4 linked regions of the Drosophila melanogaster genome follow. Changing the gene in region 3 together with the main gene of any one other region gives a genetic interaction. Each region holds a gene or a part of one and is shown on either strand. Other genes may lie near its edges.

Region 1 (6,302 bases), 1.1 Mb from region 3:
CGGATGACGGCAACATGTACATTTGGGAGGGAGACACGGGCAAGATACGCGCCGTTTATCGGGCGGACAGTGCCATCGTGAATTGCGTGCAGCCGCATCCGAGCATCTGCATGCTGGCCACCAGTGGCATTGACCATAACATTAAGATCTGGTCGCCGTGCGCCGCCAGCGCCGAGGAGCGACCCAATCTCGTGGCGGATGTGACGCGTTTCGTTGAGGATAACCAGGAGAAGATGCGCCTCGATCCATTCGAACTGCACACGCGCAATGCGTACTGTTTCAATAATTAGGAACTGTGGCTTATTGTGCATCTTGATCTATATTGGCTGCATGCATGTGCAACAGCAAGCGAGATCCAATCGGCAATATATCAAATATTAGTGTAATTTAAGCTAAGCGAACATATTTTTGTTAATTTGTAAACGAATTACTCTGTATACAAAGTACGAAGCTTATGAAGGATGTTATGAAAGACTATTAAAATAAATGCAGACATGCAAATCGACCGGTTTTCGAATCGTAATTTAATGAAAAGCTCAGGATGATTTGCATTTGTTTTTTTTTTTTTTTTGTTTTAATTATTCTGTTTATTTACCGTAGTTTCTTTAAATCTATGCTCACATGTATACATATACATACATATAAATATTTTACTTTATGTAATAATATTCAAGTATAGTTTTTACTCAAGTTGTATTTTTCATTCTAACGTATTTCCTTACTCTTTTGTTTAAACTGTGTAGAACTGCTAGCTTCGCACTGAAACACCTTTTCTTCGTTTTGTTATTAATACAATATATGTATGTATCTCGCGTATGATCAGAAGTTGGGGAAAAACGCGCTTGTCCACACACAATTAATTGAAGTACAATTTTGCATTTGTTTCTATTTTATTGTTTAAATATAGATGAAAATGAGTTTGTCTGTCTGGAGGCGTGGCATGTCTGGGGTTGTAGTTAGTGGCTTAAAAACTAACCGAATGTGTTGTAATATTCGCGCCCGTCGTGGCTTTTTCCATCTACTTGCACATTTCACACTATATTTATAATTATCTTTATATATTTTAAATGGATCTTCTTTAATTACTTTACAAAAGTGCGTTTTTTGTTTTGTTTCGTTTCGTTATGTTTTGTTTTGCTTTAGGGGCTGCTGTCCATATCGTTTTATTTATACAGAGTGGTTTGTATTGTTAATAATATATTACAAACTATTTTATGCAGAAATTAAACAAAAAGAATTCAAATCGAGTTCTGTGGGGTTGTCGGTAAGTGTTGTTTTTTTTTTTTTTGCAATTTGGTTGATCAGATGTGAATGAGCGGGTGTGGGAGTGGGCGGGCGGATTTGGCCTCCACCTCTACTTTACAGGCTAATCATTTCAATCTGTCCAGCTTTAGCTTTGTGTGGTCATTTGTTGGCGTTCTTCATCCTCCTCGTGCACTCTTATATGAATTTGTATACCAAATGTCGTTCTCGTAATGTTGTTTCTTTTGCCGCTGGTTGGAATTTTGTTTTCTTGCGTACATATAAGTTTCTTATAGTTGGTTGTTGTTATTTATTATGTATTTTTTGTTTCGATTATTGTTTAATACCATCAACCTTCCCGCTTTATCGAACTGGGTGTCTCTGCGAGGCCTTTCACTTTGAGGCGATCGGCGGTCTTAAGAAATGCTGGCAATTGTTCCTGGGACACGTTCACCTCACCGGCGTACATGAACTCCAGTATAGCCTGTAGGTGAATGTAGGAGACATCTTTCAGGATAATGATCGGATGCTTCGATGGGTTCTCCTGCGGGTGCATACATTACATTATCAAACGATTGCTTAGTTATTACCGCGTGAAAAACTCACCTCCAGTAGCGCTTTAAAGTAGGGACTGCAAGCGGAAAGCACCATTTTGTGGGCTTTGCAGGTTTGGCCCTCGCAGGCGAGTGTTACCTGTGAACAATAAGCATTGGGAAATCAGTAAGATCCGCCAGGCATTTTCACCGCAACAAATTGAACAAAAACGCAGAGCGAAGAACGAACACAGGTAAAAGAAAAACGAATTGAAAATAGCGTGAGGGCCAGGTATCTGCTACTCAGACCAACTGAGCTCAGCCGGTGACTGACCCTCCACAAGGGGCGGCCGCGAGCCAATCGGGCCAAGAGTAGCATAATAAACCTCAGCGCGCCCCTGGGACTGGTTAACTACAGTCGAACTTCTATGGCTTGATTTTGACTGAATTTATAAGTAACTTCAAAATATATTGACATCTAATATCATCATTCTAACTAATAGTTCGACTGCAATAGTTTTTCCATCGCCGCTTCTGGAAAGTTTCATTTGGTTACTCACATCTGTGAAGCTCTTCTCGTCGCGCAGGTGACGGAACGAGGTCACCATATTCGTTTGAAAATCGTTCCATTTTAGAAAGAACTGTTGATCCGACGACATCATGAAGAAGCTTTTGTTTTGTGGGGGCGTCGCGCTCGCTGAACAGAATGCTGGGAGGGGGGTGGGCAGGAGGCTTAATTTGGACTAGTGACCGAAAGGTTCACCGTTAGATGGTCTTAATTCGCAGCGGACCGCTTAATCCGTGGGTTTTCGCTTGGGTTTTCTTTGACGCACTCTGCAAGAGAAGTAAACAGACAGCATTAGTGAACGAACGGTAACGGCAAGGCAGAGTAAGACAAACAAACAACAGCTTGGCGAAATTAGCAGTGAACGTTACGAGAGCATTGCAAAACAGCACGTCTCTTGGCCAAAAGTATTCTGCAAATATAAATGTGCTGCGGCGCATGTGCAGCGTTTGTGCAGTGGGAAATGGGAGTTCGGAATGCACAGCGTTGTTACTCTGTACATGTGTGAGTGAGCTGGAAAATGTCAAAGTGCTGAGACAGCGCTAAATAAAAACAGCAAACAGCTGCCAGCAAAGGTTAAGCAAAGAGGCAAAAATATCAAATCGTCGCTGGCTCGCTCTGTTGAATGCCTTTCACTTTTCAAGGCAATTTCTGCATTTTCAGTCGTACACACATGTGTACTTATTGCTTATTTGAATTCGTATGCGGCACAGTGGCTTAGAACGCGGAATTAGTCTGTTGCACGCGATGCACGCTGCAGCTGCCGATGGCAATGTATTTTTAGGCGCACTCCAGTTAAATAGCATTCATTCCGTGATTTTTGACCAAAAAAGAACCAAGATGGCGGCACCATTCGCACTTCCATTCAGTGACTTTGTCTTAATTTCACTCCCACTCCATCCCACTGTGCGGCCAACATGTGTTTTTCTTCTTGAGGAAATAGCGTTGTTGTTGATGCGACTCTCATATGCGCTACACTGGCAGCCGGCTGTATGTTTCTGCGTGGGCGGGGGAGAGCAGGGCATATAGTTTGCCGCCAGAGCTTAAACTTTAGTCTCACGCTCTCTGTGTCCCTCGTTCTCTTTCGCTAAGCGCTCTCAACTTTCAACTGCCGTTATGATTTCGCAATTACATTACAACAACAACAACTTAAAAGGCAGAGCAGACATCGCTGGAAATTCAGCTGCATAAGTGTAAGTGTGTGGCTGTGTGCGAGTGTGGGTAGGCGGCGGCAACTATCTCGCTTGCTCTTGCGCCCGGGGTTATCGGTAGCTTCTTCTAGGCTGAGTGCATTTCGTTGAATCATGGATGTTGAAAGTTGTCTAATTTCCGAACTATTGATTTTTCCCCTTCCCCGTCAAGAAACTGCATTGTTGCTTCTTGAAGACCAGTTTTGGTAACATCAGGAGAATGGAAAGGAGCGAGTGAGTCGGTGAGTAAGTGAGTGAGCGATGCGAGCGACAAAATCAACAACAACAACAACAACAACGGTTCAAAACGAGTTCCAACGAAAGTTGCAACACTCTCAACAATTTGAGCAGCTCCGTTTGTTGTTATTGCATTACTCAATCGGGAAGAACTCTACACTCGACGGAATAGTGTGCTCGTCTGAGATTTATTCTATTTCAATTCTTTTCTTTTGTTTTTGGTCAGACAATGGCGTCGGCAAACGTTCGTGGAAAGCCGCAGGAACCACCAAAATGCCTGGCGTCACATTAACCGAGCCGCCTTTGTTTATGCAAATATTATTGTAATATTTGGTTAAAATTAGGTCGCGCTTCGCGTTACTTTTTATTTCATATACACGCAGCAGCAGCACGCATACAGTCACGTCACGCACACATACAATCGCCGTTCACATACACTTGTCTTTTTTCCACACACTTTCCTAATCATTTTATTTGTTGTGCGCTGCTGCTTTTTACTCGGCGTGTACTCTGTACTTTTACCAATGCGTATATCGCCTGCCGACCGCCGCAGGAGCACGCTAATTGCGCCGTGGACACGCTTTTTCTATATCTTTTTGTTTCAATTTTAATACATACACGCTTTTTTTTTGTCCCGCACTTAACTCACCTCTGCTTTCTCGCTAACGCTGCTTTCTTTTTTCTCTTTCACCGATTTCGATTTTCGATACACTCGTGATTGTTCGATATGAATCGGCCTAATTTCGATGCGTTTTGTTTTTTTCCAGTTAATGAACACAAATTAATGTACTGAAATATCTTTTATTCGATTTATAACACAAAAAGCATTGCTTGAATTGATGCTTGTTATTTTGTACGCCAAATAATATAACAATCGTTCAGATCTATCGGCTAGCAGCCCTGACTATGTAAATGGTTTCGTAGCAAACGGCTTTAGTCTGACACTGTGAGAATTCTTGTGGGCATTGCAAAATGTTTAAAACCACACGTTTATATAAAATTATAAATAAAAATGTGGTTATCACATGTTCGAGGCGGCAGAATACCGCCGCTGAAGTGGGACAGAGCTTTCGGCAGAGGGCGTGGCTGCTCGCCAGAGAGCGGTACAAGGATCATGAGCACGTTCATTACAGCTCTGTTCTGGAGACCAAAATAAAACCCTCTTTCTCGATTCCTGAGACACAACAGCATTTGCCCGACGACTGGATGGACGACTACGAGTTCTATCAGGGCGCCCAGGAGGGAGGGAATAAGCAGGGCACACCGGATCCTTCGTTACCCGCCTCAAAGGTTCCATGCAACGGCTGCGGCGCAGACCTTCATTGCACGAATGCCTCCCTGCCAGGCTATATACCAAGTGAAATATTCAGGGATAGGACGCAGCAGGAACTGCAAACGATCACCTGCAAGCGTTGTCACTTTCTGAACCACTACAACATCGCATTGGATGTGGTGGTGGCCCCATCGACCTATGTGGACACCATATCCCGCATTCAAGACAAATTTGCACTGGCTATTGTTCTGGTGGACCTTCTCGATTTTCCCTGCTCCATTTGGCCGGGCATGCAAAACATATTGGGCGCAAAGCGACCCGTCTTCCTGGTGGGCAACAAGGTCGATCTGCTGCCGCGCGACTCCAACATCTATCTTCAGCATATTAAGGATTCTCTGCAGCGCGAGTTCATCAAGCATGGCGGTGGAAATGGTCTAAATATCAAGAATGTCAGTTTGATATCCGCCAAAACGGGCTATGGCATCGAGGAGCTAATAACGCAGCTGCACAAAACGTGGGCCTACAAAGGCGATGTCTATCTGGTGGGCTGCACCAATGTGGGCAAGAGCTCGCTGTTCAACATTCTGCTTAACTCGGACTACTGCCGGCCGGAGGCCAGTGACCTGGTGCGCAAGGCCACCACCTGTCCGTGGCCGGGCACCACACTCAAACTGCTGCGGTTTCCAATCTTGCGTCCATCGAACGATCGAGTCTATCAGCGCTTTAAGAGATTGGTTTCGGAGCGCAGCGAGAAGGCGGAAATGGAAAAGGAGCGTCGCGCAGTGGCAAGGGAAACGGGTTCAGCGGCAGCTGCTCAACCAGTGGCTCCGGTTGGACGCACCTTCGATCGACGCGAAAATCTCCATGATGCCTTTGCCATGGCCGGTGGCTCGCGACCGATTACAACGCTAAACGATCGGGGCAAGGAGTACAAGGAAGCGCGTTGGGTCTACGACACACCGGGTGTGATGCAACCCGACCAAATATCTCCCCTGCTCACCGCCGAGGAGCTGGTAAAGCTGCAGCCCGCCACCATGATCCGACCGCGCGCCTTTCGGCTGCGGCCCCAGATGAGCATACTACTGGGCGGTTTGGCCAGATTGGATCTGCTGGAAATAACAAGCCCAAGGAAACACTTTGACTGGCTGAAGGTGTTTGTATTTGCCTCAGAGCATCTTCCCATCATGATAGCAGATACACAGGAGGCGGAAAGCGTGTACAAAAGATACGTGGGTTCGCCCTTTCTGGGTGTTCCCTTCGCT
Region 2 (7,282 bases), on a different chromosome or scaffold from region 3:
TTCTTTTCTTGCAAAACAAAAATAGATTAAAGAAAAATATTTTATATAATATATTTTTTCTCTTTTTGTTTGTTGCTCTCTCTCAAGTTAATTTAAGAAACAATTAATCAAGTTCTTATTTAATTATACAAATTTAAAAAAAATAGTAATTATATAATAATAAAAATAATAATTATAACGGGGGAAAATGCAAATAGTTGTTTGTTTTGTTGTAGTAGCTGTTCTTGTTGTTGTTGATGTTGTTGTTGTTTATTGTTGCTGATGTTCCTTTTCAATATCTATTACTATTCGTTCCGTTTTCTCAATGAATCCATTGGGAAAAGGAGAAATGTATATTTTCTATTGCTTCTGCTTGGATTTAGACATATTTTCCGATAGCTTGATCCTCATTCATTTGCTGATTGTCCATATAGATGCGGTCCTTCCTAACCGTCTTCTCATTCTATTCATATTGATGAGTGCTGTGTCCGGCTAAATTAGTTTCCATTAATTTATTTTTTCTTTTTTTCTTTTTGCTTATTCTTGATTCTTCTATACAAAAGCTGCGAGACAAAACGACGGTCAAACAAAGTATATTTCATTTCAATTCACTTTAGGAGGCAGGAAGTGTTCTTATGGGTGGAAAAGGGTCGTCGCTGGTGGGATAGTTAGCAATAGGCTTTTGCCAGCGACCGGAATTATATTTGTTGCTTATTCTTCATCATCATCTTCATCATTATCAATCATCATTATTATTATCTGCTCTTGCTGTAGTTATATCTTTTTCTTTTTCTTTCTGGAGTCTCACCGCTCCCTCTCTCTTTCCCGCGCACTATCGATCTCTGATCTTTGATAGCTTTTACATGTTCTCAAACTGATCGACGCGACGCTTTGTGTTGCCCTTACGAATCTCGCGGAGCGTCTTGTACTTGTCACGTCCCTGGCGAACGTTCTCGCGATGAATCTTATCGTTTGCCGTCTCTTTCGTCTCGTCGCGAGACTGCGCCAAATCTTGTTTCAGAGCCTAGATATAGATATATATATATATCAAATTGATATTGTTAGTTGAGTGGAGCATAAGGGACTCGATTTCGAACCCACCTTGAGCTGATCGTGCAAGCGTTCGTTGCGCTCGGCCAGCGTGCGTCTGTCCTCGATGGGGTCCTTGATATGCTCGTCGGTGTCCAGGTCGCGCGACACATCGCCACCGGCATCGCCGTTCGTCAGCTCCTCCTCGTTCTCGTTCTCATCCTCGGCCACGTGGTGATGCTGCGGCGTTGTCGACGCGGCCAGCAGAGCGGCAGCGGCTTCAGCCTACAAAAACGACAATGTTCAGTATAAAGTTGAACACAAAATGGTATCAAGACTATATTCATTGGTTTTTTCGATGCCAACAAATAGTGAAAAAAGTGTACCGCAATGACCTGCTTGCGTCGGGCGTCTTCCACTTCGTCCTGCAGACGCTTTGTCTCCTCATCCTTGGCGTTGACCTCGTCCTGAATGCGCTGCACCTCCATCTGCTTGGCCATGATCTCCTCCTCGAGCTTGAGCTTCTCGACGGCCTCCATATTCTTGGCCTCCTCGAGGCGCTGCAGCATCGCCTGCAGCTCCTTCTGGCGCAGCTCCAGCTCATCCTTGGCGGCCTGCAGCTGCTTCAGCTGCTCCTCCAGCCGGCGGATCATGTCCTGCGCCTCAAGCAGATCGCGCTGCGAACGCTCCATGTCCTCCTGCATCTGCTTTAGCCGATCCTCGTACTCCTGCTGCTTCTTTTCAGCGCGTTCGCGTGCGGCCAGCGCCAGCTGCAGCTTCTCACTGCAAAAACGAAAGAACACCGAAAATAAGAAGGGAATCATCTGCTTGCAGATTATAGCCTGTGCATGAATCAGACTCTCATGGAAATGATATGCTCGAATCATTATGTTTCGGGTCATTGAAACGTTGTATTTCGTTGAAATTCCCAAAGTTTTGATTCATTCAAACAGACATGACTTGAAATCCGTACTAACCGTTCCTGCTGTTTGGCATTCTTCTCCTCGCGCGCCTGCGCCTTCATCTGCTGCACATCGATGGTGTCCGGCTTGCGGCGACGCATGTACAGCTCGTGGTTGCCCATGCAGAGGGCCAGAATGCGCTTGTTGATGCGGACACGTGGCGCAAAGAACATAAAGTCCGGAGCCTTCTTGTCGATCGGCTTGATGATGAACTTCTTCTCCGAGAACGAAATGTTGCGAATCTCGGACCATGGGAAACCAATTTTCGGCGTCAACCTATCGTCCTGCTCGTAAATGTTCAGACCCAGTGCGTCTACGCCCAGCCAAAGATCCGTGCCCTTCTTGTTGCGGATCTCAAAGTAGTTAACGCCGTACATCTCCAGGTCTTGGGCGATCTTCAGATACTCCATCATGGCATCCTCGCGCAGCATGCTGCGATGCTCCTGCCACCAGGTCATAATCGACTGCTCCCACTCGTCCTTGGACATCTTGTGCTGGTCGATGACGCGCTGCGGCAGCAGGCGATCGTTGGCCAGAAAGCCGGCTGTGTGGGTGGTCTTATTGTGGTCACCATGACGCGCCTGGACGGCGTACGAGGCGAGCAGCACGGATGTCTCTGGCGGACAATAGATCTCGTCGGTCAGTATGGCATTCTTCACCTGCAGGTAGAACAGACGCAGTGTAATGTCCTGGATCAGCTCCTCGGCCACATCCTCGGGATAGAATTTGGCACGGAACCTAAACTGCAAGGGATTCTCCTTCTTCACGTCCTGGTTCATCACCTGTGAAAAGCGAAAACATATCACTATTAGATGCGAATGCACGCTAAAGTTTACAAACTGCAAATGGATTTGTATACGAAAAAAAAAAAAACGTTTGGTTTTCCCGATTCAATAATGAAATAATAAACATAATATCATAGATAAAAAAGTGCATGCGGCGTCTGAGTGTTACCCATGTCGAAAACGGCATTGATCCAGTCTGTTTGTTGTTGTGGTGCAGCATTAAATCATATACAGAGATTGCATTTGTATTAGTAAATCAAGTCTCTAACAATCGCTAATTAACTTAAGCTAAGCATTCGAAGGCGAGGCGATACAATACAATTATAGAATTGGCATTTTACAGGATAATTCGGTTTATGTTCTAGCTGGGACTTTTTGTGGATGTACTTTGCTGGATTGGCATATATATATATATATAAATATATTCTCGATCTCTGCCCACCATATCATCGGCGTCGTCATCCTCTTCGCTCGTCTCTAAATGATTTACTCCATTGCTGTCGGCTGTCTTTTTGTCCACATACTTCTTTACACGCTTTAAATATTTTATTGTCTTTATGGCCGGCGATTCGGGCTATATTATGTATGTACCATACATTACATTTATAAATATTATGATGTACATGCAATCTTAGTAAATAATTTAAATTTATATTCTTTTGAACTATAAACTTCAAACTTTATTTGTATGAAATTTATAGTCGCCTACCTTTTTGTACAGCTTGATCCATGTGGAGTCGCCCTTGGAGTCGGTGTACTGGAGTCCAAAGAACCAAACCTCTCGCAGGCCGATCGTCTTCACCACCTGGTCAAACAATTGCTTGCCCGTCGTCGTCGACTGAATGGCGAACTCCAGTTCCGCGTCCATTGTCGTGACGCGCACATTTAGCTGAAATTAGTAAGGGATGTCGTGATATTAAAAAAATATCGTATTAAATGATTAAAATAACGCAAAAATATATATATATATATATATATAAAAGAACAAAGCATTGCCTTTAGAAGGCAAACTAAAAACGAATGAATCAAACAGAATGTTTTATTAATTAAATGTAACTTATTTGTTTCTTTTGCTGCATTTCTTAAGTTAAAAGTGCCATCATCCATGACATGAAAAGCTAACTAGATCAAACTAACTGGGCATGCTCACAAGCCAAATAGAAAAAAAAAAGAGTAAAAAATTGACACCCATCGATGAAGGTGGCGTGCAGAGGAGAATCCCCCACGATTTGTTTAGGGGTCGATGGATTAACGGGATGTGAGCAGGGCACGTGCCAAGAGCTCCCGTTTCGCTTTGGAGGATTGGATTCGATTGCCACGACTTGCATAAGTCGGGCTTTCGACTTAAACGCGCGCACACACACGTTTCAAATGGGTGAAAAATGCTTGAAAAAATGGGGGGAAATGGGGGAAAATGGAGGGCAAAATGGAAAGAGGGAAAATGAAAGCGGGCCGCAGTGAAAAATCACGCTTGGAAAACAGCAAAGCAAAAATCAATCAGGCATGACAATAGCAACAAGCTGGAAATGACCAGGCAGCTCTAGATAGTGGAAATAAGTGGGGGGAAAACACAGGGTGTGGGGTGTGCGTGTGTGTGTGTGTGTGTGTGTATGGGAATATAGACCGGATGGCCAGCGAGTGGTAATCGGTGGTTATACAAGAGAGAGATAGAAAGAGAGAGCTCAGCCGCTATCTATCCCACTGCGCGTGCCACTTGACCAACTTGCAATGTGAAATGGCGGAAAAGCTAGGGAAATTCCACCCACATCGCCACCCAACGTCGGACACACAGCACATGCACATGTCAACCTGTACTAACTACACTACATACCATTGCGCAATCGCCACATTTGGATCAAAGTAAATGCGATCGTAGATCAAAATTGGGGTTAATATGCAGCGCAGACAATAGAGTATATATAACTAACAATTCAGTTCGCTTTTTACAACATGGCCAACAAATGTAAGTCTTACATTAAAAACCATTCGTTTAAAATATTCCTTTACTTTATTGAAATATACAAAGGAATTTTGCTAAATACCTAAATCAGCTACAAATTTTTTTAAACTATTTTATTTCCTATCTGTTAAGATTGATTGAACCAATTTCAGTTTTAAAGGCCCTTTGAAAATCCGCTGGTTTTTGTTACCATTTTCTGGGCATGGGAAAAAACAATGTGTGGTAGACCCAACAAATTAAAATTTTTTAACTTCATCATTTTGTTTGGCTCGGTTTTGCTTTTCAGTCCGAGGGCTCATTGTTTTGTTTTCGCTTTCGGCTGCTGAATGCAAATCAAACGTGACACAATGTTAGGAAATTGAAAACGTTTTTCATTTCAATCCAATTAACGTTTTTGGGTTAATGCAACCACCGTGGTTTCTGCTTTGTTTTTTTCTCCCCCTGGCCGCTGAGAATGAAAAACACAACAGCTATTTGCAACGGAAGTTGGAGCATAATAACCAGTTTTTAAAAAAGAAAAAAAAATGGTTTTTGACTTGAAACCACAAAAGTGCAGCACATGAAAAAAAAAAAAAAGAAAAGGGGGATGCGCTTTTCCAGCTTAGCAGGAAAAACGTGGAAAATAGTGAGCAGTGTGGTCCGTACCGTTTTCCGTTTGACGCTGACTCCGCCGTAACGCGGCAAACGGACGCGGCTGTCGGAGACGACGACCATTTTGGGCACCGAAAACGGATTGCGCAGTAGCTTTTGAATTATTACGCCTTTTCAATGCAAATCTCCGTCTGGGAAATATATATATATTCTTGAGCAGCCACAAGCTACGCGGGAAAACCAACCGACCAACGCGACACGATGGTTAAAAGCGGAAAAGCGACGATTCGATTCTGTTGTCCAGCGGCAACTGAGGAAAATGGAAAAGTCACGGCACGTTTTTAAGTCGCCAAATGGGGAAGACAAGCGCAAAAGGCAAAAGGAAAATAAATGCTAGAAGAGAAGAAAAACAAAAAACAACACTGGGAAAGCGGCGGCGGCGGCAGAACGCAAAAGAAACGCTAAGGGAACACACAACACAACACAAAATGAACTTAATTTCTGCCCAAGAAAATGGGAAAATTTTTATCCCAGTCATTCGTTGTCAAGTTAATATAAATTGCATGTTAATTATGCATCTAAAAGTGGACAGCCGCAACCATAAAGAAAAGAACTGCTGACCATAGAGGTCAAATGGGTTTTCCAGAACGAGAGAAGTATGTGAATGCAATGGGGGTCAAGTAAATAGTGCAATATGGTAAAATATATTTAAAAAATATATATATAAATCAAAACACAACCAATTCTCTAAATGAATTATTGATTGAATTAGCTGTATAGTTAGCTAATTTTTAGTTTGAACACTAGTCATTTGGCCAGCGCTGTGCGCCGAAGAGCACGAGAGAGCGCCGTAGAAACGCAGCCCCAAGGTAGGCAAACAAATCAGCGTCAATCATACGACGCGTTGGCTGTCAATTCTGTTTTATTGATGCCGCTTTTGGGCCTCAAATAGCAATTAAACCCCTCCCCCCTCCCCACTCCGCACTCACATATCAAGCTATTCAAACAGACCAATAAACATCTAGTTATGGATGAGAAAAACTATAGCGAAAAAGGGAAAGTTATGGAGAAACCATTCAAGCACGATGTGCATCGACTACTGCATTGGAACAGAGAAATTTCCCTAAAAGGCAAACGACTTCTTAAAGCTTTGTGCAAAAATCACCTTTCAATCATCCAAATTGTATTATAAAATCACTTCAAATCACGTGTTTGATTGTCATGATGAACTCATAACAAATACATCATTCATTAACAATCAAGTTGAGGCAAAAATGTCATTAGACCATCGCTGGGTGAGATAAGAACTTTTCCGGTTGCCAAAAAAAAAAAAAAAGAAATCACAACATGTCAAAAAGAAATTGGCAAATGCTTTGGTATGAAATAATGATCTACTCATGTGTTCATATCAATGACGTCGTCTTCTAATCCAATTTTTCGCCGTCTGCGTATCTGATGAAATGATGAAATTTTTTTTGGCAAATGTCCAAGAATCAAATACAATTACCAACGTCAACAGTTGGGCCAATATGACGTCTTCGCCTGGCCATCCCCATTCCCCCCCAGAAGAAGTTCTATTAAAAGATGCGATGCGATCCCAACACTCCACAATTGACGACAATTGTAGCTGAAGTGCTCTCTTGATAAGAACACAATTTCCGATAGCTGATAGCTGACAAACTTTTCGTTGTGATTTAATATAACTAATCTTTAATAATTTACTAGGCGCTAGTGCAAAACATTTGTTTTATCAGATTCGTTTGTGGTTTCATTCCAGTGATATATGGTTACCATTATAATGGAATATTTCGAACTTATTATAATACTGTCTAATCAGTACTAATTATTTATTATTTTATAGTTATTGGTTAACTTACCGCTTTTGGAGACATTTTGTTGTTTCGTGTCTTGTCGTACTTATCGAAACGAAATGTTTTCTTTCCAGGATATTATCGTCTGAACTCTTTATTGTTTTT
Region 3 (4,935 bases):
CTTTGCATAGAAAAGCTTACATATATACATAAGAGAAGCAAATTCATCGGAATTTGTTTATTGCCAAAATTTTAGTAACAGAAAGAAATCTCTTCTGCTCTATTATTGTGCAAAGCTTAATGAATAAACAATTTATAAAAGCTTTCTCTTGCAGAATGTTATAATACTAATCGCACTAGACTTTCGTAAACTATGTTAAATTTATTCAAGGTTATGGTAACAATGGTTTAGTGATCTTATCACGCACTTAATATTGAATAAAAACAGGAAATTATCAGTAATTCATATACCAGAAAAAGAAACATGTAAGCAGTTATATATTTTAAAAAGTTGGCAATAATGGATCGATTAGCTTTATACGAAATCGTATAACCACTCTTTAAATAAAGGTAAGTTTTAAGAAGTTATCGAAAAACTAAATGCTATATGTAATGTTTCCAGATCTTAAACGTCATTACCAAGACCACAACAAGTCTTATAGCTCCCGATCTTTCCAGAAAGCTCTTCTGCGTGGCTGGTGAATTCTCCCGGTTAGATTCTTTCGCCCAGTAAGCTCCGCGCATTCGTGTTCTATTCCCCAACTAAGAACCACGTGTCTGGCGATTCTTTAAATCACCTCAAAGCGACAAAACACGACGTCAAGACAGCTTTTGACTTTTTGCGCAAAAATGGCGATACGCGATGTGCCAAAAATAAGCAAAAGCCCGCTCACCTATACTTGCGACAAAGCAGCGCACACACACTTGGCGAAAAGCTTTCGTTTTGCTCTTTTTGTTGTGTGCAAAAATGCTCTCTGATTGGTCGGCTTGCGAATTTCGGGGGAATTCGCGAGTCGCAAAAGCGAATCGAAAGCTTGCACAATTTGCCGAGCGGCAACCGAAGACCCTCGGCTCCACTTCGGTCACCATCGGTTCCAAAGAGCGAGGGAGCGAGAGCATCTGACTGTTTACGCGAAATTGTTATTGTTTGCAACTAGTTTTTGCGTTGTTTTTTTACGCTTTTTGTTGTTTTTTGCCGGCATTTTGCTCTTGAATTTTTGTTTTCGCTGCGAAATTCAAGTTCAAGTTTAGGGACGGCGGGAATGTTGTTATTGTTACTCAATTCTGGCGTGCTTTCGCACCAAAGTGTGTGTGTAAACGTATCTATGTGAGTGGGATTTGGGTTTGGGCTGTGGTTCTGTTGACGCAACTTGTTGCTTTCACGTCTGGGGTAAAATATTTAAAGGGCTTCCTTTACCTTTAAATCCATCAGATACTTCCACCACTTATCTATCTGAGAGATAGAAATAGATAGATAGATAGCTCATTTTTAAGATTCTGACTTCATAATATCTTTTTTTTTGCATTTACTAAATGGTTCTACACTTTAAATAGAACAACAATTCTGCGCTCATTGGTTAGCAAGGCTTTTCACTGTAATTGTCATTGAGCGATCCGTCCTTCCGCATTTTCACGTAGCCGCTTTTTGACCCTGGCCCACCGAATTTGTTTTCGTGGTAAACAACAAACTCAACTCGAGAACCAAAACCATACACGCACGCACACACACACACATACCAATATAGATTACAAAAATTTGCGCCGCATTTTGCTGTAAACAAAAATTGTGTAATAATCAAGAGTGACCCTGAAAAGCGCTTCACAGATAAACAAGCGGCCAACTGGCGGGTTATTTTTTTATTTGTCGATTGTTGTTTTCGACTCATGACTGTGTTGATATATTTGCAAAATTCTTACGTGGGCCCAAGGGCCGATGATAATTCTATGCTCGACGAAAGAGCTTTCCCCCCTCCAGAGGCCCAAATTTATATTTATTTTTTTTTCGCTAGTTTGGGAACTTTGCTTTTTTGCTCAATTTGTGAGTCAGTGGCATTATGTACTAGTATATTATGTACAGTCGAAGCTTTTTTTCTACACACACGCCATTTTTGCGGAGCTCTCTCTCTGCAGTCGAGAATCGGCGAAAGAATTAAAAAACAGATTCAGTCGGCTATACAGTCCCCACTCAGAAACAGAGAAACCGAGAAGCCCAGTTCCACTCGCAGTCCCTTTGGTAAACGCCTGAACTCAAGGTCAGTGCTCGTACCGCCGCAGAAGTTTGGCGGTCTGTCCAGAACTTACAGCAGAGCGACACATGTAAATCGCCGCTGCCAACCCTGCCCCGCCCTTCGAGATACACGAACTAACAGATACACAGATACACGGTTATATGTGCCCATCCGAATGCTTGTGAATACTGAAACACTTCCGAGAATCAGTTGTATTGCCCTTTTTTCATACTATTTTTTTCGTTGTTTAGTAACTTTGCGTCATTTTGCCATTCGAAGGCAAAGAGTTCACTTCGATCCAAGCCAAAAAAAAAACCAAAGAAAACTGCAGTGAAATATAGTGAAAATCGAAGCAAACACACAATAATGCCGGTTAAAATGTTGGCTGACTTAGGACCAGTGAAAACGTGGCCAGACTATGTGCGAAAATGTGAATCGAATTATGGTTAGAATCGGCGTTCTGATCAGCCAGCAGATACATTTGTAAAACGTGTTCTACGCACTCAACAAACCCCGAAAAACGTCGCTGGATCTTGCAGATACTATATGTACATGGAGTGAATAAAACAACAGCGGAAAAACAAGGTAAGTACAACACAGACGTATTCTATGGAGGGCGGTTTCGCCCCCACCTTCCCTTGCCATGTGACCATGGCCGTATAAATTCGAACAAAAATTCACAACGCTCGACTTGAAATTTCCCTCAAATTGCTAAAAATAAAATAACGCATTTGTGCGTGCGTTTGTGTGCGAGCGTGTTTTTGGTGAAAACATCGTGGAAAATGCACCCCATGCGCCGCTCGAAAAATGCTAGCCTGTACTTAACGGGGGCGTGGTCGTCGGCTTTCCATTTCCCGAATTTCCACATGTTCATTGAGCGGCAAACTGCAACTGCAACCGCCACACTCGAGTGGCGCTGGCGGCACAAATGGCATGGCTCGCTATTTATAGCCAACGCATTCGTATCTGCGCGCTTCATGGAGAGCATATGTACTTTTGTATCTATATCTATGCATATGCATATCTACGGCCGGATCTGCAACGACTTTGTCATATCTACATATACATATAAATAAATATGTACATATGTACGTGAAGGGACTGTCGCCCGGGAAACGCGATTTGAGTTACATACAAACGATCATTGCAAACATCAGTTTTATATCTGACGCCATACGCCCCATAGAAATAAAGTCTTTAGCACACAGAAAAAATTTAATTTACGCACTGTTTTTATGTGTCAACAACTCAATTTTGACTTTTCTCACAAGCAAAACTAAAGAAAACATATATTCTTAGAGAATTATGGGGTATTTAATATATATAATATATATGTAATTCGTAAATTACACTAAAAGGTTTGTCAATAAACTTTTCTCTCACTGTAAAGATTATATCTTTGTATCTGCGCCAGCGAAAACGATCACAAAATGGCCGACCCATGCAAAGTTGCAGTTGCACTGGTAGCCCCCCATCGCCACTTCCCCCACACACTTTGCACACATGCACAGATGTATCTGTATCTTGTTTGCCTTCTCCCGCTCTTCACCCAGCTCCCCCTGTGCCGCTCTTCCCCTCTTTTCCTGTTTCGCCTTCTTTCTGTTTGCTTTCGCCTAATTTTTCGTGCCTTTTTTACACAATTCTCGTTTAAATGTTGCCTTTTGCTTTGCTATCTGTCGGCCCTGTAAATGTATCTGTATCTGTGTGTTGTATGCTATGCTCTCGTATCTGTGAGTGCGTTGCAAAAGTGCAATGACCCATTCGTAGTCCGCCCCCCACCCTCCCCCCGACCATAACCCCGCCAGCGGACCCACCAACACCACCATCGCTCTACGAAGTCGCGGTCTACGTGCCACTTTCCTTAGTTGCAGCGAATGACGCGCGCGATAAATTTCCAGCGTTTTCGTTTCTCCGCTGCTTCGTATTTGTCTAATTTTCCCTCTCTCCGTTGAATTTTTTCGTGGTCTTCTTGTTGCATTTTTTTTTATTAATTTCCCCGGGCTGCAGTTTTTGTTTGTTTTTCGACTGTTGCTCTACCCACACACAGGAAAGTACACTCGAAAAAATGTAAATTTTGAAATAACTCTTTTTCTGGAAGCTGAAACATAAACTTACGATTAAAAATACAACTTTCCGAAGATATATTTTAAAAACCCTACTTTTCTCTGAGTGTAGTGTGTATCTTCTAGATAGTATTCGTATTTTTGCCCTTCCGCCGCGTGAGTTTTGTGTAAACACTGGGTGGAAAGGGGAGAGATATCTCAAAATTTTCGCCTCCATTAGCACACGAGTGCGAGCGGCGATCTTTATGGCAGGTCCTGCCGATCCTGTCGCTGAACCAAACTCTGCAGGCTGCCCATTGTCCATCGTAGGCGGCGGCTCCTGTTTTTTTCTTTGAGCCACGCTAATTGCCATTTGTGTTGGAGAGAATTTTCACGTGCCGCTGCTACTTCAAAGATGCTCTAAGAGGCGACACTTCAGCAACTGAAAAAGTCTCAAGAATCTAAGCATCTCGTTCGAAAGATGCCCAGGTAAAAGCAAAAGATACGAGGGCTAAAGGTAAAGGGTTGGCCTGGGAAAAGCCGGAAAAACGCAACCTCGATGCGTTTGTGCGTGTGTGTTCTTTTTTTCGCATTCATTTTTTACTTTGCATGACAAATGCTGCTATCAAGTCCAGACATTGATTGAAACCCAAAGCAAGGCTTTTCCTGGAAAATCCGCTTCTTCCTTTTTTCGCATGCAAATATTTTTCACGATAGTCGCTCAATGGTAATGACCAAGAAGCAAAGGGTTAGGCATCGTAAAACGCTGGTCCACATTTCCTTCGAACTATTTTGGCACATTTTTGCGAAAAGCCATAAACCCATAAATCTCAGACGAAACCCTTT
Region 4 (5,028 bases), 8.7 Mb from region 3:
AGCTTTTTTATATCTCATTTATTATTGTTATTATTCTGCACATGTGCGTAGAATGTAAACAAATGAAACTTTTGCAAAAGTCACAAGTGAAATTTAGCAACGTCGCGCAGTCCCATAAAAAAGATTAGGCGACACGAAAATATGAAAAATGGAAATGTGTAAACGTGTCGAAAAGAAAACAACAAAAGCGGCGTAGCAGAAGTGTAGCACAAAGTGGAAACAAAAATATGTGGCGACTGTTCTCTCTCTCCCTTCCTCATCATCCTCCTTGCCTCATGCTGAGCCGTCTGGTTCTCCCACTTTTCTAAGTGTGTGTGAAAAGTGCAGAGAGAAAATTTCACGCTTGTTGTTTTTGTTTTTCGTGAACAAACATAAAAACTGACGAGGGAGTATGACAAAATGAGCGGGAGAGAAAGAAAAGGGGAGCCAAAAGAGCGAGAGAGCCTAGCATTGAACAAAATATTTTATGTGTGGGGGAAAAACCAAGATGGCGGCCACCAAGACTTTGGGAATCTATCGAAATGAAAAACGTGCTTTTTTGTAGGAGTTTATAATAGAAAGCAATTAATTGAACTCGCTCTTGGCAATCTTCGTGTTTACTAATCATAGTTTTTTTTATCAAGCTTTCCCTCGTCGCAATCGGTAATGAAAAGCTTATATAACTTTCCTACTCGCGCACACATACACGTGTACTTGTAGAAAACATTTCCCACTGCAACACTTGACCTCATTTGCATGGAAAGTGAGCCACTGGCAGTGTGTGCGTGTGTGAAAATTAATGAAAACCGCCCGTCATTTACTTCAGCGTTGCATTTTGTGGGAAAGCTCTCCCTCTCCTGCTCTGTCTGTGCCTGTCTCTTTTCGTACATTGGTGAAAAGCTTTCTCCCGTGAAGTGAGCATAGGGAAAAATCGATAGAAACACCACTGGAAGTATCGATTCGATATGCAAAAACACACACAATCTCAGGCAGATAATTGCCAGGTACAGTTCAAATGCAAGTTCTTATTGTATATTATTAAGCGGTACTTTAAAACATTATTGATCAATTTTATATACACACCGAAATAGAATCACAGGCAGCACGTAGTCGTCAATAAACTTTGCACATATCAAATTTTGGTGTTGCTTTTCCAATCCATATATGTATATATATAGTAAAATATATATAATACTAATACACACACACACGATAACGCGACGGGGGGAAAAGCAATAAAGTTGAATTTATTTTTACTGTATGTGATGGGGCCCTGTATGCATGTGTATGTATTTTCCTTTCCCGCTGCCGTGGAGAGCAGAAAGAAAAGAGTAGGCAGCAGCAACAACGCACCACACACTGAAAATTGCGGACGCGCGAAGCCACTGAAGAAAAACTGACGACTGACGCGACTTTCCGCTGGTGCTCGAAAAAACGAAAGGTTCCCATAAGCAGAGACCCCGAAGAGCGCCGAGAGAGTTGGAAACGAAGCCGAAGCGAAACCCGAAGAGTGTGAGTGCGAATGAGAGTGTGAGTTCGAAAAATAAGTTGACGTCGCCTGTTTGCCACCCCTCTTCAGACGTGTGCTTTTTGTATGCTTGGCGCACAGAGTTGCCAATTCACGACAAAAGATCGACAAATTAGGATGATGCAGAAGGAGGACACGCTTTTCATTATCTGGTTGCCACCTAATTTAAGTTCCACATCAAGGAAGAAGGAAATACGTTTCCAACGGACGTCAAATTTACTAACTACACTACTTGAAAAGCCTGTCTATAAAAACACGATAACGTTTTTGCTAATCTCAAGACAATGTTAAATATAATTGGAGAAAGTATTGAATATGAATATCACAAAAATTGTTTAGGGTCTCTACGTGGTAAATAGTATTTGGCATAGACAGTGAGATGTGAGTCGTACGTACTAATTAATAAAGTTGTTCAATAGAACCTCATATACTGTAAGTGACAACGAACGAGGCTGACAACTCTGCTTGCACATATTTGGCGGAGTTCGAAAATATCATTCGCATTGGTATTGTTTTTGTTTTCCACCATGGGGCGAGATTTTGTTGTTGCTTTAGCTTTGCTTGTTTTTTTCGCAGCAAAGCGAAGCCATAATGTTCGAAATGGTAAAATTACCGTTGCCGAGCAAGCTCTCTCTCTCCCCCACTCCGACACCTCTCTCCATCTCTCGTTGCAGTTGTTTAAGGGTGTGCGAGGGAGATGAAAGATGGTCTCGGCTTGTGTGTGCAATGCATTTCCCACTAAAAAGCGCAAATTATATTTTGTGCACTCTCCAAACGTTTTTATGATCGGCGTTGATTTATTTTTGGCTTCCAGCATGACTTCATCGCCGCGCGTTTTCTCTCTAATTTCGGTGTACAAATTATGTGTACCTAAATATGTACCTTAATTTTTAACGGTTTCATCGGGTTTTCAGCTGGAAAATTAACATTTCTGTGCGAAATTCTACACGCATGCCAAATGTTCTAACCAATACTAATTGATGCGAGGAGTGTCGTTTCTGTGGCAAAATCATAAATTCTACAGATCTTTTCGACGGCTACAGTGTGCATATGAAAGGTGAACGTATAGAGATGATGGTCCCCGCATAACATCACGTCGATTGACAATCGCTCACCTGAATTTCCATTGGAGTTTTCATGGCAACTCGGTCACGTTCCCTCTTTCTCACTCCCTCTCTCTCTTTCCCACACGTTGCACAGGAGAGGGGGCGCAAACACTCACAAACACCTATAAATTATTATATATTTCGTCTTTTTGCATTTGCAGTTGAACTTTAATTACAACAAATTATGCACTCGACACAAAAACGTATTTAACATCACATAGTTTTTTCCGTGGGTGTTTTTCCAATCGGTGCTCCGCTTGAATTTATGCAATCCGCACTGTTTTTTAGACTACTAACAATTTATCCTGATTTTTTATGTGGGTGGAAAAGCAACGAGAATTTAACGAGCGGAGCGACGACGATTTTATTCCTGAGAGTTGCCGTTTGTTACTGAAAAATCGCTGCAAAAAAGTTCGAATAAAAGTCGAAAAAAGAAATAGGCTTTGCGTGTGTGTGTGAGCACGAAGTTTTTGCTTTTGTTGTTCTTTCTGCTGCATTCGAAAAACCGAAGATCGTTCGTGCGCTAGAACAAGTGAGTGCGAGCGAGATGGGGACACTCCACGATACAGTTGATTGCTTTTTGCAACTGTCTCGTTGGAAAAAAGCGTTTTGCGCGGGAATTGAGGGGAAGAAAAGAAAGAAGAAGAAGGGGTTGTGGCAAAAGGAAGTCGCGCTAAATGAAAAGGCAAAGAAAATGTGTTTTTTTTTTGCTTAGCACATAAGGAAATATGGCACATGGAGTTCTATGTAAAAAGCTATGTATTTAGATCGTCAAATAAAACGTGGAATTTGTGGGAAACACTTTTATAATACTTTTTGTATGTATAAGAGTTATAATAAGCATAATGAGAGCATGGCATAATACGAGATTTAAGCCACATGATGTACTATGTACATATGTACATAGAAATGTGTGTATGTACATACATAACATAATTTTTAACGAATTCTTATAAACCAAGTGGAAATGTTTCTAAAAAATTATGAAATGTCAAGGTCATACATAATTTACAATGTAGGTTCTACAATTTTTAGAGATTACAAAGCAGTGAGGAACATACTTATGTACATACATTTATGTAATATTTACATAAGTACATAAATATTTATGTGATTATAAATTTATATACATATACATATATGAAAGAATATATACATTCATATATACACAGTTTTTTTTAAGAAGCTTACACGGCAACTGAAATGATCTCACCATGCAGATGCAGAACTTAAAATTTGTAAATGTACATAAAAAGCTAATTTAGGTAATTTTACTACAAATAAAATAAATGCTATTAGCGCTGAAGAAGATAATTCACCAGACACCTGTCATTATTTTTTGCGAGGCAATTAAAATTCCCGACTGGGGAAGTAGAAAGGTGTCAAGAAAAGATTAAACTTTCAATTTATGGATCCACTCTTTTTTTTTGCATTTTGCCATTTTGCATATCTGTTTGTTTTGCCAATTGCTACTTTCTAATAAAATCGTCAATGTTCACGGCACACATTCGTATAAATCTTTGGTCGTTTTTTACCACCGCCTTGCATTAGCAATTGCCAAAACTTGATTTTGATGCTTAAATATAACTGATTACTTGATTTGAGCAAATATATGTACACATGCATGTACATATAAAAAAGTCAGCACAAGATCATAATTACACGAAAAACAAGAACAACAATAATGCTGTTACACGGTGAGAAATACATATGTGTTATGATTAACTAAAGTCAGTAAGCATATTTTTACTGGAATGTAGAATTTAAATTCATTTATGAAACTACATTTTTGCTAATATGCATATAATTTCTAACTGATTTCTAACTCAATTGGCACATTACAATGCCTTGAGAGCAAACGTAAGATTTGGAAAAGTGTTTTGACCGATCTATTACTAATATTTTCTTGCAGTGTAGCGCTGTCGGCGTCGACGCCCGCGCAGCAGCTTAAAAAAGCTGCGCTCAAAGAAATTAACAATAAAAGTTGGAAATTTTGTTCAACGCTTTTTGTTTATTTTTTAATGTTTTTGTGTTGTTGTTGTTGGCTCTTGAATGACGAAGAAAATATTCGCCGAGGGAAAGAAGAAGCAGAGGAACCAGAGTTCCAAAACTCGTTTGGCATTCGAAATTCCAGTGTTTGTGTGTGTGTGCGTGTGCCTTGTATTTTTGGCAACACTTCTACTCCGCTGTTGCTTTTGTTGTTGTTGTTATGCCGCCTGGCAAAGTGAAAATTTATGCCGCACCCCGCTCAAAAAAGTAAAACACGAACAAAAAAAGCACAAGAAACTGGAGTCCGTGATTTCACACAACACAACACACCGAAATTCCAATCCATTTCAAAGCCGCCAGCAAATAAACAAAAGTCAATATGTAATTGAAATTTTTTCCGCCGTTGCTTTTGCTCAACAATTTTCG

The links.
Region 1: of rib (region 3) and lolal, changing one enhances a phenotype caused by changing the other (phenotypic enhancement), as found in Drosophila melanogaster (one study listed by BioGRID).
Region 2: of rib (region 3) and Moe, changing one suppresses a phenotype caused by changing the other (phenotypic suppression), as found in Drosophila melanogaster (one study listed by BioGRID).
Region 4: of rib (region 3) and lola, changing one enhances a phenotype caused by changing the other (phenotypic enhancement), as found in Drosophila melanogaster (one study listed by BioGRID).

What each region holds. Positions count from the first base shown.
Region 1 is NT_033778.4:18,153,557-18,159,858, forward strand, and holds lolal (lola like), read right to left. Parts: upstream 4,463-6,302; 5' UTR 4,386-4,462; exon of another isoform or gene 4,204-4,385; intron 3,337-4,203; exon of another isoform or gene 3,191-3,336; intron 2,824-3,190; exon of another isoform or gene 2,610-2,823; 5' UTR 2,438-2,609; coding exon 2,336-2,437; intron 1,936-2,335; coding exon 1,849-1,935; intron 1,787-1,848; coding exon 1,592-1,786; 3' UTR 539-1,591; downstream 1-538. Other genes in the region: adp (adipose), read left to right, coding at 1-290; CG10914 (uncharacterized protein), read left to right, coding at 4,740-6,302. UniProt on the Drosophila melanogaster protein: Required, together with Trl, for maintaining the repressed state of target genes including homeotic genes Scr and Ubx. May also be involved in the activation of homeotic genes. Binds to a DNA Polycomb response element (PRE) at the bithorax complex.
Region 2 is NC_004354.4:8,873,109-8,880,390, forward strand, and holds Moe (moesin), read right to left. Parts: upstream 5,618-7,282; 5' UTR 5,430-5,617; coding exon 5,361-5,429; intron 4,054-5,360; exon of another isoform or gene 3,948-4,053; coding exon of another isoform or gene 3,906-3,947; intron 3,645-3,905; coding exon 3,465-3,644; intron 3,330-3,464; coding exon 3,198-3,329; intron 2,952-3,197; coding exon 2,925-2,951; intron 2,914-2,924; exon of another isoform or gene 2,753-2,913; coding exon 1,986-2,752; intron 1,792-1,985; coding exon 1,395-1,791; intron 1,294-1,394; coding exon 1,081-1,293; intron 1,004-1,080; coding exon 839-1,003; 3' UTR 515-838; downstream 1-514. UniProt on the Drosophila melanogaster protein: Involved in connections of major cytoskeletal structures to the plasma membrane. Together with wgn, involved in control of axon targeting of R8 and R2-R5 photoreceptors, independent of egr.
Region 3 is NT_033778.4:19,268,155-19,273,089, forward strand, and holds the start of rib (ribbon), read left to right. Parts: upstream 1-1,923; 5' UTR 1,924-2,632; intron 2,633-4,935.
Region 4 is NT_033778.4:10,540,283-10,545,310, forward strand, and holds the start of lola (longitudinals lacking), read right to left. Parts: upstream 3,010-5,028; 5' UTR 2,623-3,009; intron 1,714-2,622; exon of another isoform or gene 1,559-1,713; intron 1,492-1,558; exon of another isoform or gene 1,063-1,491; intron 1-1,062. UniProt on the Drosophila melanogaster protein: Putative transcription factor required for axon growth and guidance in the central and peripheral nervous systems. Repels CNS axons away from the midline by promoting the expression of the midline repellent sli and its receptor robo.